Arabidopsis thaliana: one gene and its partners. The protein of the gene in region 3 interacts with the protein of the main gene of each other region in a pairwise test. Each region holds a gene or a part of one and is shown on either strand. Other genes may lie near its edges.

What was found. The genes of interacting proteins can lie anywhere in the genome.
Region 1: the proteins of SHL1 (region 3) and NAC071 interact in a two-hybrid assay, tested with the Arabidopsis thaliana proteins (one large-scale study listed by BioGRID).
Region 2: the proteins of SHL1 (region 3) and AP3 interact in a two-hybrid assay, tested with the Arabidopsis thaliana proteins (one large-scale study listed by BioGRID).

What each region holds. Positions count from the first base shown.
Region 1 is NC_003075.7:9,978,174-9,982,158, forward strand, and holds NAC071 (NAC domain containing protein 71), read right to left. Parts: upstream 2,383-3,985; 5' UTR 1,866-2,382; coding exon 1,709-1,865; intron 1,619-1,708; coding exon 1,329-1,618; intron 1,226-1,328; coding exon 1,001-1,225; intron 911-1,000; coding exon 704-910; coding exon of another isoform or gene 677-703; 3' UTR 530-676; downstream 1-529. UniProt on the Arabidopsis thaliana protein: Transcription factor involved in tissue reunion of wounded inflorescence stems. Required for the division of pith cells in the reunion process, which is dependent on polar-transported auxin and the wound-inducible hormones ethylene and jasmonate.
Region 2 is NC_003074.8:20,118,611-20,123,239, reverse strand, and holds AP3 (K-box region and MADS-box transcription factor family protein), read left to right. Parts: upstream 1-1,925; 5' UTR 1,926-2,152; coding exon 2,153-2,340; intron 2,341-2,441; coding exon 2,442-2,508; intron 2,509-2,591; coding exon 2,592-2,653; intron 2,654-2,737; coding exon 2,738-2,837; intron 2,838-3,009; coding exon 3,010-3,051; intron 3,052-3,327; coding exon 3,328-3,372; intron 3,373-3,617; coding exon 3,618-3,812; 3' UTR 3,813-4,100; downstream 4,101-4,629. Other genes in the region: emb1967 (Forkhead-associated (FHA) domain-containing protein), read left to right, coding at 194-342, 446-532, 655-783, 862-942. UniProt on the Arabidopsis thaliana protein: Probable transcription factor involved in the genetic control of flower development. Is required for normal development of petals and stamens in the wild-type flower.
Region 3 is NC_003075.7:18,217,074-18,221,912, forward strand, and holds SHL1 (PHD finger family protein / bromo-adjacent homology (BAH) domain-containing protein), read right to left. Parts: upstream 3,252-4,839; 5' UTR 3,062-3,251; coding exon 2,989-3,061; intron 2,907-2,988; coding exon 2,561-2,906; intron 2,332-2,560; coding exon 2,263-2,331; intron 1,681-2,262; coding exon 1,548-1,680; intron 1,291-1,547; coding exon 1,225-1,290; 3' UTR 556-1,224; downstream 1-555. Other genes in the region: RD19 (Papain family cysteine protease), read right to left, coding at 1-253. UniProt on the Arabidopsis thaliana protein: Chromatin remodeling factor that binds to methylated histone (e.g. H3K4me2/3) to prevent their acetylation (e.g. H3K9K14Ac), likely by recruiting histone deacetylase (HDAC) complexes, and thus regulate the transcription of target genes.

The DNA.
Region 1 (3,985 bases), 8.2 Mb from region 3:
ACCCAATTTGATATTGTTCACATTTTGTAAATCATATAGACTATATATCAAAAGTATTTCGTAGATCATTTTCAAGAGGAAGAAATATTCTTATAAATTTTAAAAGAATGAAATGTAGAAAGCTCATGGAAAAAAGAATTTTGTTTGAAAGGTCTCTAACAATTGAGAAATGCAAGCTTTTGGGATTTTCATACATCTGTAAACAAATTGCTGCGTCACATAGTTTTTGATTTTAATCTCTGCATATTTATGGAATTTTGTTTACATAAACTTTTGAAATGTCAAAATGGTCCCGAAACTATTGCTTTTATAGACAAAATATTGGATTTTTAATGCAAATGATTGTTATGACTTCTACATAAGTTGCTTTATATAATATAAGTTTGGTCCAATTAATGATTGAGAAGAACATGATTGATTCTCTTTGCATATATCATATCAAAGGTATCGGAACATTAAAATAAGACTCTATAATAACGTAAATCTTCATACGAAAAAACTTTAAATAAGGAATTTATTATACTCATTCCTTATATTAGCAAACAATATATATAAAACTAAAATAAAAACCAAGAGTAAGATAATTAAATTCTCAAAAGAAAATGATAGACGTTCACAACTAGTTCTTCTTCTTCTTCCAAGTTCCAAGACACCAACGTTAAAAGGCGTTTTTGTCCTAAGAACGAACCAACATTTCTTGTAGCTAAAAAAGGTTTGAGTAGTCAAATGAACCGGTTTGGTCATTTTCATAATTTGTCCAATAACCGGTTTGCATCGACTGATCAATGTCCTGGTCCACATTGAAATAACAAGAGCTCACCGGAAATTCCACGTGGTGGTTTGCCGTGGTGACCGGAAAATGGTAGTTGGGAAAGCACTCAGAAGCAACCTCCTTAATCTGAGGATAATCCTATATTTAAAATCACAAAACCAAAAACACATATCAGACCACTACTGTCTATACAAAAACTATTTTGGTTTAGATAATAGATGTAGGTACCTTTGACGAATCAAGGATGAAATCAGGAGAAATCCAAATGCTTGAAGAGTCGTTTGTAGTAGAAGAAGGCTTGAACGATTGAATCTGCGACGCTTCATCGCGACAAGGAGAGGTCGCGAGGCTAGAGTAACAAGAACCAATGTCTTGTTCGTTTTTATTTTTCAAACTTTTCGAATTTTTCTTCAGTTCATTCTTCTTAACTACGCGACATAACGCAAAAGCTCCCTAAAATTCAAACATATATATGGTTTTTAGGCTTCGTTCCATTAGTTCATAAAAATGAATATTATGAAGTTGGATCAAATGAAACGAACTCTAATTTTCTTACCTTGAAATTTGGTGATTTTTGTGAATGATCATCAATATCGCATAGACGATATTCATGCATAAACCAATTAGTTCTGTCGCCTAATGGGGCACGACCTTCATAGAAAACTAAGGTTTTTCGGTATCCAGCTATAACATGCGATGATTTACAAGTGATTTTCCGGTCTTTACCAGTTGCTTTCCAATAACCCGCTTTTGTAGCCCTATTGGTTCGAGAACCGTTTGCATATTTTTTGTCTCTTGGACAGAAAAAGAACCATTCCAAATCTCTATTTGGAAGGAAAGATTTACCTAAAATTCAAAGATAAAATCAAACAAATTTAGTTTTATTTAAATATAAATTTATGGATAAAAATCTAATTGTTTTCCTTTTCAAATTACCTGGCAACTCCCAAGGATCAAATTTGTATAAGTCGATAACAGGAATGACTTCAAGCTCAATCTCGAGACCTTCTATTTTTCTACTCAAGTAGTAGCCTATGAGCTCTTCATCAGTTGGATGAAATCTAAATCCTGGAGGCAAACATGAACTCCCCATTTGCAAAATTCACACTTGTAGCTTGCGACACAAGAGAGTTGTCGAAAGCTAATATTTAACTAAATATCTATTGACTATTTGGAAAATCTAAAAATATAAACTTTTTTCGACATTCAATTTGTTTTTGAAAATAAGTTGCAACTCACTTTGATTGCATCCTTTTTGTGACAATATCATTGTCTGAAAGAGATTGTATGTTTACAAAAAAAAAAACGAATTATCCAAAATTCTCTTTTTAAAAATATATCTAACACCTAAGAAAAAAAATAGAAACAAACTTAAGGTACAATTCAGAAATAACGAAGAGCAGTTGGTGGAAGAGCTAATTGCTGCGGGTCAAAGAGTCTGACTGAGGAAAAGGGTTCTCTGACTTATTAGCTATACAAGACCAAAAAAAAAAAAAAGTTATTAGTGAGTATTGATTAGGAGAGTGATTAAGATCGGAGAGAAGAAGAGAAGGTTGGTAGAGTGTTGAATGGTTGTGGGGTGAATGATATTTATAGCACAAAGGTTGCGAAACTTTGTGAGGCAAATTTAATCATAGCTTAAAATATGTTGATGAATTTTTCTGTAGAATAAACAAACAGTATTATAATAGTCAGTGCCGTTAATATTCAGAAGAAAAAATAACTCGACACACCGAAAGCGGATAAAGACATTGCTTGTCTTAAGAGTTCCCAAAATTCAAAAAGAAAGTGGACCTACCTGGTCTCTAAAGTTAGACTTGTTCACACTTCACACATCAATGATTCAATAATACTATCACCTATAATTAATCAAAACTTATTTTTCTATTTTTTAATTTCATAAGACGTCGTTTCGTTTTGTAAAACGATATGTTTATAGGTGTGTTGGCAAATTAGTCACTTTTGAAAACATAATTATGGAGTTGGGCAAGTTACTATTTACACTTGACAAAACATGTAACTCACTTTGGGCGTGTAATAGACGAGCGTGAAATAGAAGTTTGGGGTGGGGTAAGTGATGTGTTTTGAAATTACCGAACTATCCTTTTGACAGAGAAGAAAGATAAAAGTGAAATATTCTTTTTTTTTTTATTTCTTTTTAATAACCCCTCCAATTTAATAATTGAAATACTTATCAATATAAATTTATTTTCTAAACTAATTCATATACATAAAAATCTATGTATTTTTCTTTATAATTTGATATGCATTTTGTTAATATTTTTAATATATTACAGACATTTTATCAGTAGTCGGTACACTTAATTATGTGTACAGACTTTATTTTGTACGTTGCATTAGCTGTACAGAGTATATAATTGTATGGAGTATACAATTATCAGTAGTCACTTTTCACTGTTGATTCGTACACTTAGACCTGTACAATATTTTTAGTGTATATATATATATATAAATATACACAACGTACACTTACATCTGTACACTAAAAAATGTTGTACAGATCTAAGTGTACGAATCAAACAGTTAAAAGTGACTACTTTGCAAATTGTGAATAGTAAAATGACTATTTTTCCAATTATGGCTGGACGATTTCAATTTGTACTTATTAAATAAGTTGTATAAATAAAAATCTGTACACATAATTAACTGTACTGACTACTAATAAAAATGTTTATATAATATATTTAAAATTATTAACAAAATGCATATCAAATTATAGAGAAAAAATATAGATTTTTATGTATCTGAATTAATTTAGAAAATAAATTTACATTGATAAGCATTTCAATTATTAGATTGAAGAGGTTATTAAAAAATAAATAAATATATATATATATATATATATATATATATATATATATATATATATATATAAAGAAATACAAAGAATGTGAGTATGAGGAGAGAGAAATGTTGAATCTAAAAGCACAAATCCCAATTGCTTTCAACGACATTGGAGAAGAAGAAGATTAGTGGCATATTTGTAAATAATAGAGTTGGTATGGGGTATATTTGATTTTGTCTGTAATAGGGTCAAAGGTTAGTGACTAAAAATCCAATTATAAATAGTAATTTGCCCAATTCCATAATTAAGTTTAAATATCTGACTACTTTACAACTTAACCCTATGTTTATTTGCATGTCATTCTTGTATATCGGATTAGTAAACCTTGGTTAACCAAAAAGAGAGAG
Region 2 (4,629 bases), on a different chromosome or scaffold from region 3:
TTTCTTTCTATCTATCTACATTTTTGGGAAAAGAAAGCTTTTAGTATGTGAATAGGAATGTATTTCGGCATTTGGCTCCTAAAAGTTATTACATGCTGCAGTGATGTGGGAAACCTTTTCTATGGGTAGCGTATGAGATGTTAGAAGAGGTTTAAGGCTTGTTTGTAAATCCCTAAAATGTTTTCACTTGCAGTCTCCAAGTATCAGAGCCAAGACATGAAAAGAACAATCATAAGACTTGAGCAGGCTGCTCATTCATATATGCAAAGAGCCATTGCTTCCCGTGGTGCATTCGCTGTTTTATATGGCAGATATTCAAAACACTATATCAAGAAGCCTGAGGTAATATTATCTTATTCGTTTAATATTCCTTGTATGATTTGATAAGCTTCTTAAGAATTATAGTAGCACTTGTTGATATCGGGGTTCTTTTTTCTTAACATAGGTTTTGGTGGGTAGATCAACAGAAGACCTCGCTGTGGACATTGATTTGGGAAGAGAAAAGCGGGGTAGCAAAATATCTCGACGACAGGTCGGTCAATAGTAGATACTTCTATTTGTATTTTAGGTCTTTAAGTTGTATGAGAAGCAGCAGCCCAGGATCTGTAATGGTTGTTGTGTATGTTTTTTTCCTTTTTGGGTTACTGAATGCAGGCGATCATACGGCTGGGTGATGACGGTTCGTTTCATATAAAAAACCTGGGGAAGTATTCAATCTCAGTAAATGAGAAGGAAGTAGATCCTGGACAGAGTTTAATCCTCAAATCCGATTGTCTAGTTGAGGTTTGATCCGGGATACTCTTTTATGATCATTACTTACGCTTCTAGGTCCGTACTTAAACCCGATATATGTGCGCGCAGATACGGGGAATGCCTTTTATATTTGAAACAAACCAAAGTTGCATGCAAGAGTACCTGAAGAGAAGAGGGAAAGTGAACTGAGACCAGATCAAGAGTGCGTGTTGTTTGTGTAGATGAATGATGCATCTCTTGTGTAATGTACCTTAGCCATAGGAACACGTCTTGTAGATCTTTTAATACATCTTTAGTTCCGCATCATGCATAGTTGACCCTGTTTTAAGGCGTTGAAATGAAAATACAAGTCTCTTGTATCTGAATTTGTGTTTTAAGCGAAGAATGATTGTTCTTGTGAAGTTGATACACAAGTTCTTTGGATATCCTATCAGTATAAAGGATAGGTTTCCATTTTCGTGACTCACTCACTGATTTCCATTGCTTGAAAATTGATGATGAACTAAGATCAATCCATGTTAGTTTCAAAACAACAGTAACTGTGGCCAACTTAGTTTTGAAACAACACTAACTGGTCGAAGCAAAAAGAAAAAAGAGTTTCATCATATATCTGATTTGATGGACTGTTTGGAGTTAGGACCAAACATTATCTACAAACAAAGACTTTTCTCCTAACTTGTGATTCCTTCTTAAACCCTAGGGGTAATATTCTATTTTCCAAGGATCTTTAGTTAAAGGCAAATCCGGGAAATTATTGTAATCATTTGGGGAAACATATAAAAGATTTGAGTTAGATGGAAGTGACGATTAATCCAAACATATATATCTCTTTCTTCTTATTTCCCAAATTAACAGACAAAAGTAGAATATTGGCTTTTAACACCAATATAAAAACTTGTTCACACCTAAACACTTTTGTTTACTTTAGGGTAAGTGTAAAAAGCCAACCAAATCCACCTGCACTGATTTGACGTTTACAAACGCCGTTAAGTTTGTCACCGTCTAAACAAAAACAAAGTAGAAGCTAACGGAGCTCCGTTAATAAATTGACGAAAAGCAAACCAAGTTTTTAGCTTTGGTCCCCCTCTTTTACCAAGTGACAATTGATTTAAGCAGTGTCTTGTAATTATACAACCATCGATGTCCGTTGATTTAAACAGTGTCTTGTAATTAAAAAAATCAGTTTACATAAATGGAAAATTTATCACTTAGTTTTCATCAACTTCTGAACTTACCTTTCATGGATTAGGCAATACTTTCCATTTTTAGTAACTCAAGTGGACCCTTTACTTCTTCAACTCCATCTCTCTCTTTCTATTTCACTTCTTTCTTCTCATTATATCTCTTGTCCTCTCCACCAAATCTCTTCAACAAAAAGATTAAACAAAGAGAGAAGAATATGGCGAGAGGGAAGATCCAGATCAAGAGGATAGAGAACCAGACAAACAGACAAGTGACGTATTCAAAGAGAAGAAATGGTTTATTCAAGAAAGCACATGAGCTCACGGTTTTGTGTGATGCTAGGGTTTCGATTATCATGTTCTCTAGCTCCAACAAGCTTCATGAGTATATCAGCCCTAACACCACGTACACCATCTCTCTAAACACCACTCTTAAATTAAGCTAATTGAGTTGCTTTGTTTTCTTATAATTAACCACTACTTTTTTGGTGATTTTGTTGGTTATAGAACGAAGGAGATCGTAGATCTGTACCAAACTATTTCTGATGTCGATGTTTGGGCCACTCAATATGAGGTTTTTTTCCTTCTTAGATCTTTCTTCTTCTTCTTGATATGTGTTTCGCTGGTTGGTTAAATTCTTGATGCGTTTTGCTGCAGCGAATGCAAGAAACCAAGAGGAAACTGTTGGAGACAAATAGAAATCTCCGGACTCAGATCAAGTATTTGTTTCTCTCTCTTCTCTTAGATGAGGAGTTTTACTAAAAAAAATGAGTACGAAAATATACATATTTTTAAAATTGTAGGCAGAGGCTAGGTGAGTGTTTGGACGAGCTTGACATTCAGGAGCTGCGTCGTCTTGAGGATGAAATGGAAAACACTTTCAAACTCGTTCGCGAGCGCAAGGTTCTCTTCATACTTTTCCCTTACCTAGGGTTTCAATTAATCCTATATACCCAAGCTTCAGTTTTGAATTGAATTATTAAAAAATGAATTTTATTGTTGTATATATGTTTTAGAAAAAGAAACATTTTGTTTACTGTTGGATAATATATGTTAATTGTATTGTACTGTACAGTTCAAATCTCTTGGGAATCAGATCGAGACCACCAAGAAAAAGGTCACATCTTCTATGTCCACTCACTTTTCCATTTTATCATATTTATTTGTCTCAACAATTTTGTGTCAATTGAATTTATCAACTTACTAAAACTGTTGATAACACTTTTCTTGGACAATTATATTTGTGTGTGTGTGTGTGTGTTTAAGCTAATGGATAAAGAAAATACCAAGTATACTATATAGTGATGTCATAATAACTTGGGTATATATCTTCATAATTTTTTTGGGAGGGAATATTTCTTCATCATTTCTCTTGTGGTTTACACAATTGCAGAACAAAAGTCAACAAGACATACAAAAGAATCTCATACATGAGCTGGTAATATCTCTTTCTGTTTTTCTCAAATGTTGGTTTAGGCATAATACATTCATGGAATACGGAGCCAGTTAAAAAGATATCTAGAAATGTAGTGTAGATTGATCAGTCACTCTTATGTTTTCTTGTGATTCTCTTATCGAAATATCTCCTAGTTAAATCATATATCAAATGTCATGTCATTTCGAATTAATAATATTGGTTTTAGTTATGTGGAATATGGCTTAAAACATGTTTTGGTGAATTAGGAACTAAGAGCTGAAGATCCTCACTATGGACTAGTAGACAATGGAGGAGATTACGACTCAGTTCTTGGATACCAAATCGAAGGGTCACGTGCTTACGCTCTTCGTTTCCACCAGAACCATCACCACTATTACCCCAACCATGGCCTTCATGCACCCTCTGCCTCTGACATCATTACCTTCCATCTTCTTGAATAATTAAAGGCTAAAAGGTTTGCTGGTGCCATCATTGTCTATCTAATTATTTAGTAACTACTTAAAACATAAGGCATGGTGTTGCTAAAACCTTAAACTGTCATGTTTCTTAGTTATGTATTTTAAAGCCTAAAGAAATATGGATTGTGTGATCAGTAGTGCTTAGGCTTATTGTGTGTGGAATGTTTTCAAGACTTTTATCATGTATCGTATTATTATATTGACCACTCTACTTAATTATGCTACAAATTTACTCGATTTGATTTTCTACTTGAATGCATATATATTGTCTGATGAAATACAAATTGAAGTTGTTTCCACAAAACGAATAGACTACCAATCATACTATTGATTTACAAAACTAAAAAGTAAAGACAAATTTTTATACAAGATGTATTCCGAGCCAAATGCAACAACTTTTCGGGTTGTTATGTGTAACCCGAAAACAAAGATATTCAAATATTCACCCTAATGAAGACGTTCACGGTTACCAATATTGATCACAAGTTTGGATGGTAAGGCTCTTTTACTAAACTATCTAGCAAACCAAAAATCATCGCAATCAGAATTATGAATTAAGAGTTAGGAATAAACTTTTGCCTATATAACCTTCCTAGAAACTTCATAGTCCGGTCAATAATAAGACAGGGGAACTTGAAGAGGTCTAGCCTTTGAAGCCTTCTCTTAGTTCAAGATTCCTTGAAGCTCTTCCTTATTGCACATATGCCAGAGAAATTCATAGACATCTTAGCCTCCTTTGTGTTTTACGGTTCATTTAGTTTTTATTTCTTATCTGAACTTGGAGCATTAGAAAAGGGGC
Region 3 (4,839 bases):
GACGCCTCGCTCGCCTGAGATTCGCTTTGAAAACCGAGAATCTATAGTCATGCTCCTCGTTGGAAGCGTAGACCTTCCCGAACTTCCGCTTGAAGAGAGAAAAGTGATCCTCTGAGGTCAAAACCTGAGGCTCGGCTCCACCAACCACCTGACGGATCACGAGATCATCGCCGTCGTTGACATCAGACGACGAAACCGAGACGATAAAGAAAGACAAAACGAAAACGGAGAAATAAAGCTTAAGACGATCCATTTGATTTGCAATTAGATTGAAGGAAGCAGAGAAGGATTAATATAGATAGAACCCTCAGTAGATTATCACACGCAACGTGAATGTATAGGTGTATGTATAGGTCTCTGCTACACGTCTTTTTCCCTTTGGAGATTAGCTTTCGGTTTCTTTTAAGATAATTTTAAAAGATATTGTTGTCATCATTATTATAGTCGGAGAAAAAATCGGAAGATATTTATGGTATTTATTATTATTTTAAGATGCCTTATCCAAGGGGAAAGGAGAGAGTTAACCAATGATGTAGAACCACGTGTTAATCATTGAATGGGTATGGAGTAATGGAATGGGATAGGTTCAACTTGTTGTTAGCAGTGCCGTGTTGTCTTGGATAATATTAATTCTCTCTTTTCTAAAAACTTTAAAAAATAGTTCTATCTTCCTCTTTTTCTGAGACAAATGTAGAAGCTCATGATCGGTAGTTGCCATGTTTCTCTTCTCTGATTCATTTATTTATGTTCCCAGTGTACTAAAAATAATTTGTAATGTAATTTTATTGATTTTTAGTGTACCTCCTGGTTTTTGGCTGTACTTTGAACCAAATTATGAAGACACGATGATCAAATATGTCTCTTTGAATATGCGTTTTAGAATTAATAAAGAATGAAAAACTAATAAAGAATGAAGGGTTTCTAGAGTTCACAATGAAAACAAACAAATAAGGAACCAACACTCTCTTTGTTTGTTTGTTTGTTTTGTTTTCTTATTATAAACAAACCATTTTACCCAAATTTTATATGTGACAACTAAAGGAGATGAGAAACCACCATACGCTATACATATAAATTATACAACAATCAAGCCAACAAACCTAAACCCTCATTTTTTAAGAAAGAAAAAACTAGAGAGGGAAAGAAAACAAAACCACCTTTGTAGATTACACGATTGATACTCAGACTCACCAACCAGATATCTATAGCCTTTACAAGTTTATGTTAACCTGGTCGCTTAGTGTGTTTGTTCTTCGATTTAGTTACCTCCAGGCTGCGCTTTCCATTCACCTGTTAGTTAGGACAAAACATTTCACAAGGTTGTCTTTGACCTTAATGACACATATACTTTGGGTTTATGTGTTTATTCTGCCTTAAGTTGGTATATTTTATCAGTCCAAGAGCTTACAATTGTTGGCAAGGCTAGCTTTATATGTGGAACGAACGGTCAACTTAAATACCTTAAATTTATTCAAGCCTATTTGCAACGGGTTTGACCATCCCTCAAAAACTAAAGATATTTTCTGAAATGAGAAATAGAGAAATACCTTAGCATCTCTGTTATTGGAAGTTGAATTAGAGTTGTGCAAATTCTGCTGTTGTGGGGAACACTCTTCGCAGTAGAAGTTATCTGGCTTTTTAGCTTCCTCTATTGTTGTTCCTATACAAGAAGGATGAAACCTGAGCCAATGTTAGTTTGCTGTAACATCAAAGGCAACTGACAAAGACATTCGAAACAAAAAACCTTAATCCTCTCTTTACAAAAAAAAAAGTAAAAAGATTAAGCTTAACACTTAACAGTTCCAACTTCCAAGATCAAACGATCACTATTTGTTTCAGTATGACTTCATTTACGTTACTTGTGTCATATAGCAAGCTAACATGGGTGAAAGACCCAAGGCACAAACTAAGAAGCTGCAGAAAAACCCAAACCTTAACAGCGACTCAATCAGTAACGTGTAAGAAAATTTGAAAATCCGCAACATATACATTAGAATGTTAATCACAGATATTACAAACGTTCAGACTAGAGTATCAGCTTATGTTCCTATTCATCTGCAGTTTCCACAATATCAGATAAGACAAAACATGAACATGAGTAAGGAAGAGCATCACCGAAGTAAAGCATGACAAAAGCATTCATCTCAAGCAACCTCAATAGCATATCAACTAGGACCTCATGGATACACGAAAAACATACGAGCAATTCCAGATTGTGACTCAAGAAGATTAAAACAGAGTTTCAAATAAGTGAACACTTACCACTCAGAACACTCCTCGCATTGCACCATCAAGTCATCTGGGTTATACGGCATCTCACACTTGCAGAACCTGCAAACAGAAAAAATCAATTTAAACTCAATTGATTACTTCTCTTTGCAAAAACAACTTCATGAAACCAATTTAGATGACAAATCAATGAATTATTAACAATCAATGCCTACACTAAAGCAACACAATCTAATTTCCAAAAAAGCCTCAATTCAACCGATAATAGTTCCATCATTCAATCAGTATTTTCTTCTCGAATAAAGTAACAGAGAGTCGTAGGAACACATACACGGTGACTCTGTCAGGATCAAACGCGCCGGTAGTGGAATTGTACTCGAAACGACAGAAGAAGTCGTCGTTTCCAACAGAGTCAAGTTTGGTGTAGCTACTGAAACTGTGAACCTTACACTTTCCTTCAATCGTATCGGCGCTTTGAAAATCGAAGTGGTCAGAGAGAAAAACCTCCTTGGCTCCATGGAATTGTCTCCTCCCTCCGATAGATTCCTCAGGGCGATAATACCACCTCACACGAACTTTCGCGTGCGATCCACGCGCGTCCGTCTCGATCGCCTCTACCCTCGCTACGTACGACGGTTTTCCAGGCTCCGACGACCGCATCAACACAGCATCTCCCTCTTTTTAACCACAAAACAACATCGAACGATTCACTTTCAATATCCACGAATTTCAAATTGAGGATGAACAAGTCAGACGTACCTTGAATACTCTTGTTGATGTGTTTGAGTTTATAGGACTTGAGCTGCTTCCTTGGAGCTTTTTGCTTGGGCATCTGAAACTGAAAGGTGAGTAATGGACGATGATGAAGCTCAAGGTTTTTGCGAACAGTTTTTCTCAATGAATACAGTCAAGAATCATCAATCGCATGTCTCGCGGAGTACGGTAAGAACAAGTCATGAGGATCTCAGGAGCGTATGATTGGGTGTACAATGGCAGGATCGTGAATATAGAGGAAAGAAAGGGAGAAAATGGGTAAATAGAATGTCAGATAGCCAATTGACCACGTCAGCTTTTAAGTGGAAGCGCGTGTGTGATACGCGCCTCTAGGCCGCTCCCTTTTGTCGTGAATCATGTAAAATTAGCCACGTAAGCAATTACTCATTATGACTTGTCCTGACTTTGTCTTTGTGTGTTGCATGTTTTCAGATAAATAGGAAATGCTAAGGAATATTTTAAGAACCTTTCAATTCTATATTTATTCACTTATTATTCAATTCTATGCGTACGTATGATTACATTCGAAAGGATTTCCAACATTTTTGTCCCAATAAGCAAATTGGAACAAACACATCCAAATCTACATAATTTGCGCAAGAAAAAAAGATAACCACAAAAAAAAGACATAAAAACAGTAAAGAAAATCAAAAATTGGATATGAATGACGCCCCCACACACTGAACTGAAGTTTGTGTTTTCAGTGTTGGGTTGAGAATAAAAACCAAAGGAGCTACTAAATAAATTGAGAAAGTGTAAGCTTCTTTTTTCCTAAGCAACACAAGGTGAGGAACAGTGGGTGCTACTAGAGACCCTTCGACAAGGGTAGTTTGAGAAATTCACATTGCTGTTAATAGCTGCAGAAAATGAAGATGAAGATGATTGCTTGTTCTTCTTCTTCCTCTTCTTGTAAGCCTCATCATCATCATCGTCATCAAAAGTTTGGGTTGGTTTCTTCAGATCCTCAAGGCATTTTACATCTGAGATACATATGAATGATCTCGCTTTTCCTGAATAGTACCTTGATAATCCTCTCCTATTTTACAACCATTCACAAAATCCAAAATTAGATAGTAATCCGGATTTCCATAACTTAAACAAACAATCATAATCAATGAAATCCTTTTTCAGGATTTTACTTTTTGGGAAGGTTGTTTCTTAGCTCTCCCATATCAAAAGCCAACCCACTTATGTTTTCCATGATAATAGATATAAGCGAGGTAACAAAAACAAAATAAAACAATAATTTGGGTCTCTTTGGCTTTTGTGGGAAAATTTAAGCTATTCATTTCTATATATACACATAAGAAGAGAAAAGGAAAGAGAACTCATTTGCTTAATTGAAGGGAATGGTTTCTATTTCTGGGTTTATGTTTTATTTTACTTTCATGGTTCTCTTACTTTTTGCAGAATCTGTGACTGACCCTAATCTTTTCTCACCTATACTTCCTCTCCTACAAACACTTGTGAAGAGTTTGATATCCAAACATTTACGATTGTGTATGTTTACATATACACAATATTGCAAGGTTTCTACAATGATTAGATGGAAAAATTAATGGCTTTCCCTGATTAGAACCAAACTAACCCATCTAAAGAAGGAAATGGTGTCTATGATTATTAACTAACAGAGGTCGTAAACCAAACACTAAAATTCCATTCAATGAATCAAAGCTTGAATCCAATATATAACAACACACAAACCATTGAGTTCCTTTTCCTTAATATTACTAATTCAGGTTCAAATGTGACAGCTTTAACTAGAGTTTACACTAGACAACAAAGTACGAGAATAGGTTACCCTTTTTTTCCAAAGACTATGGGAGAACGAACACA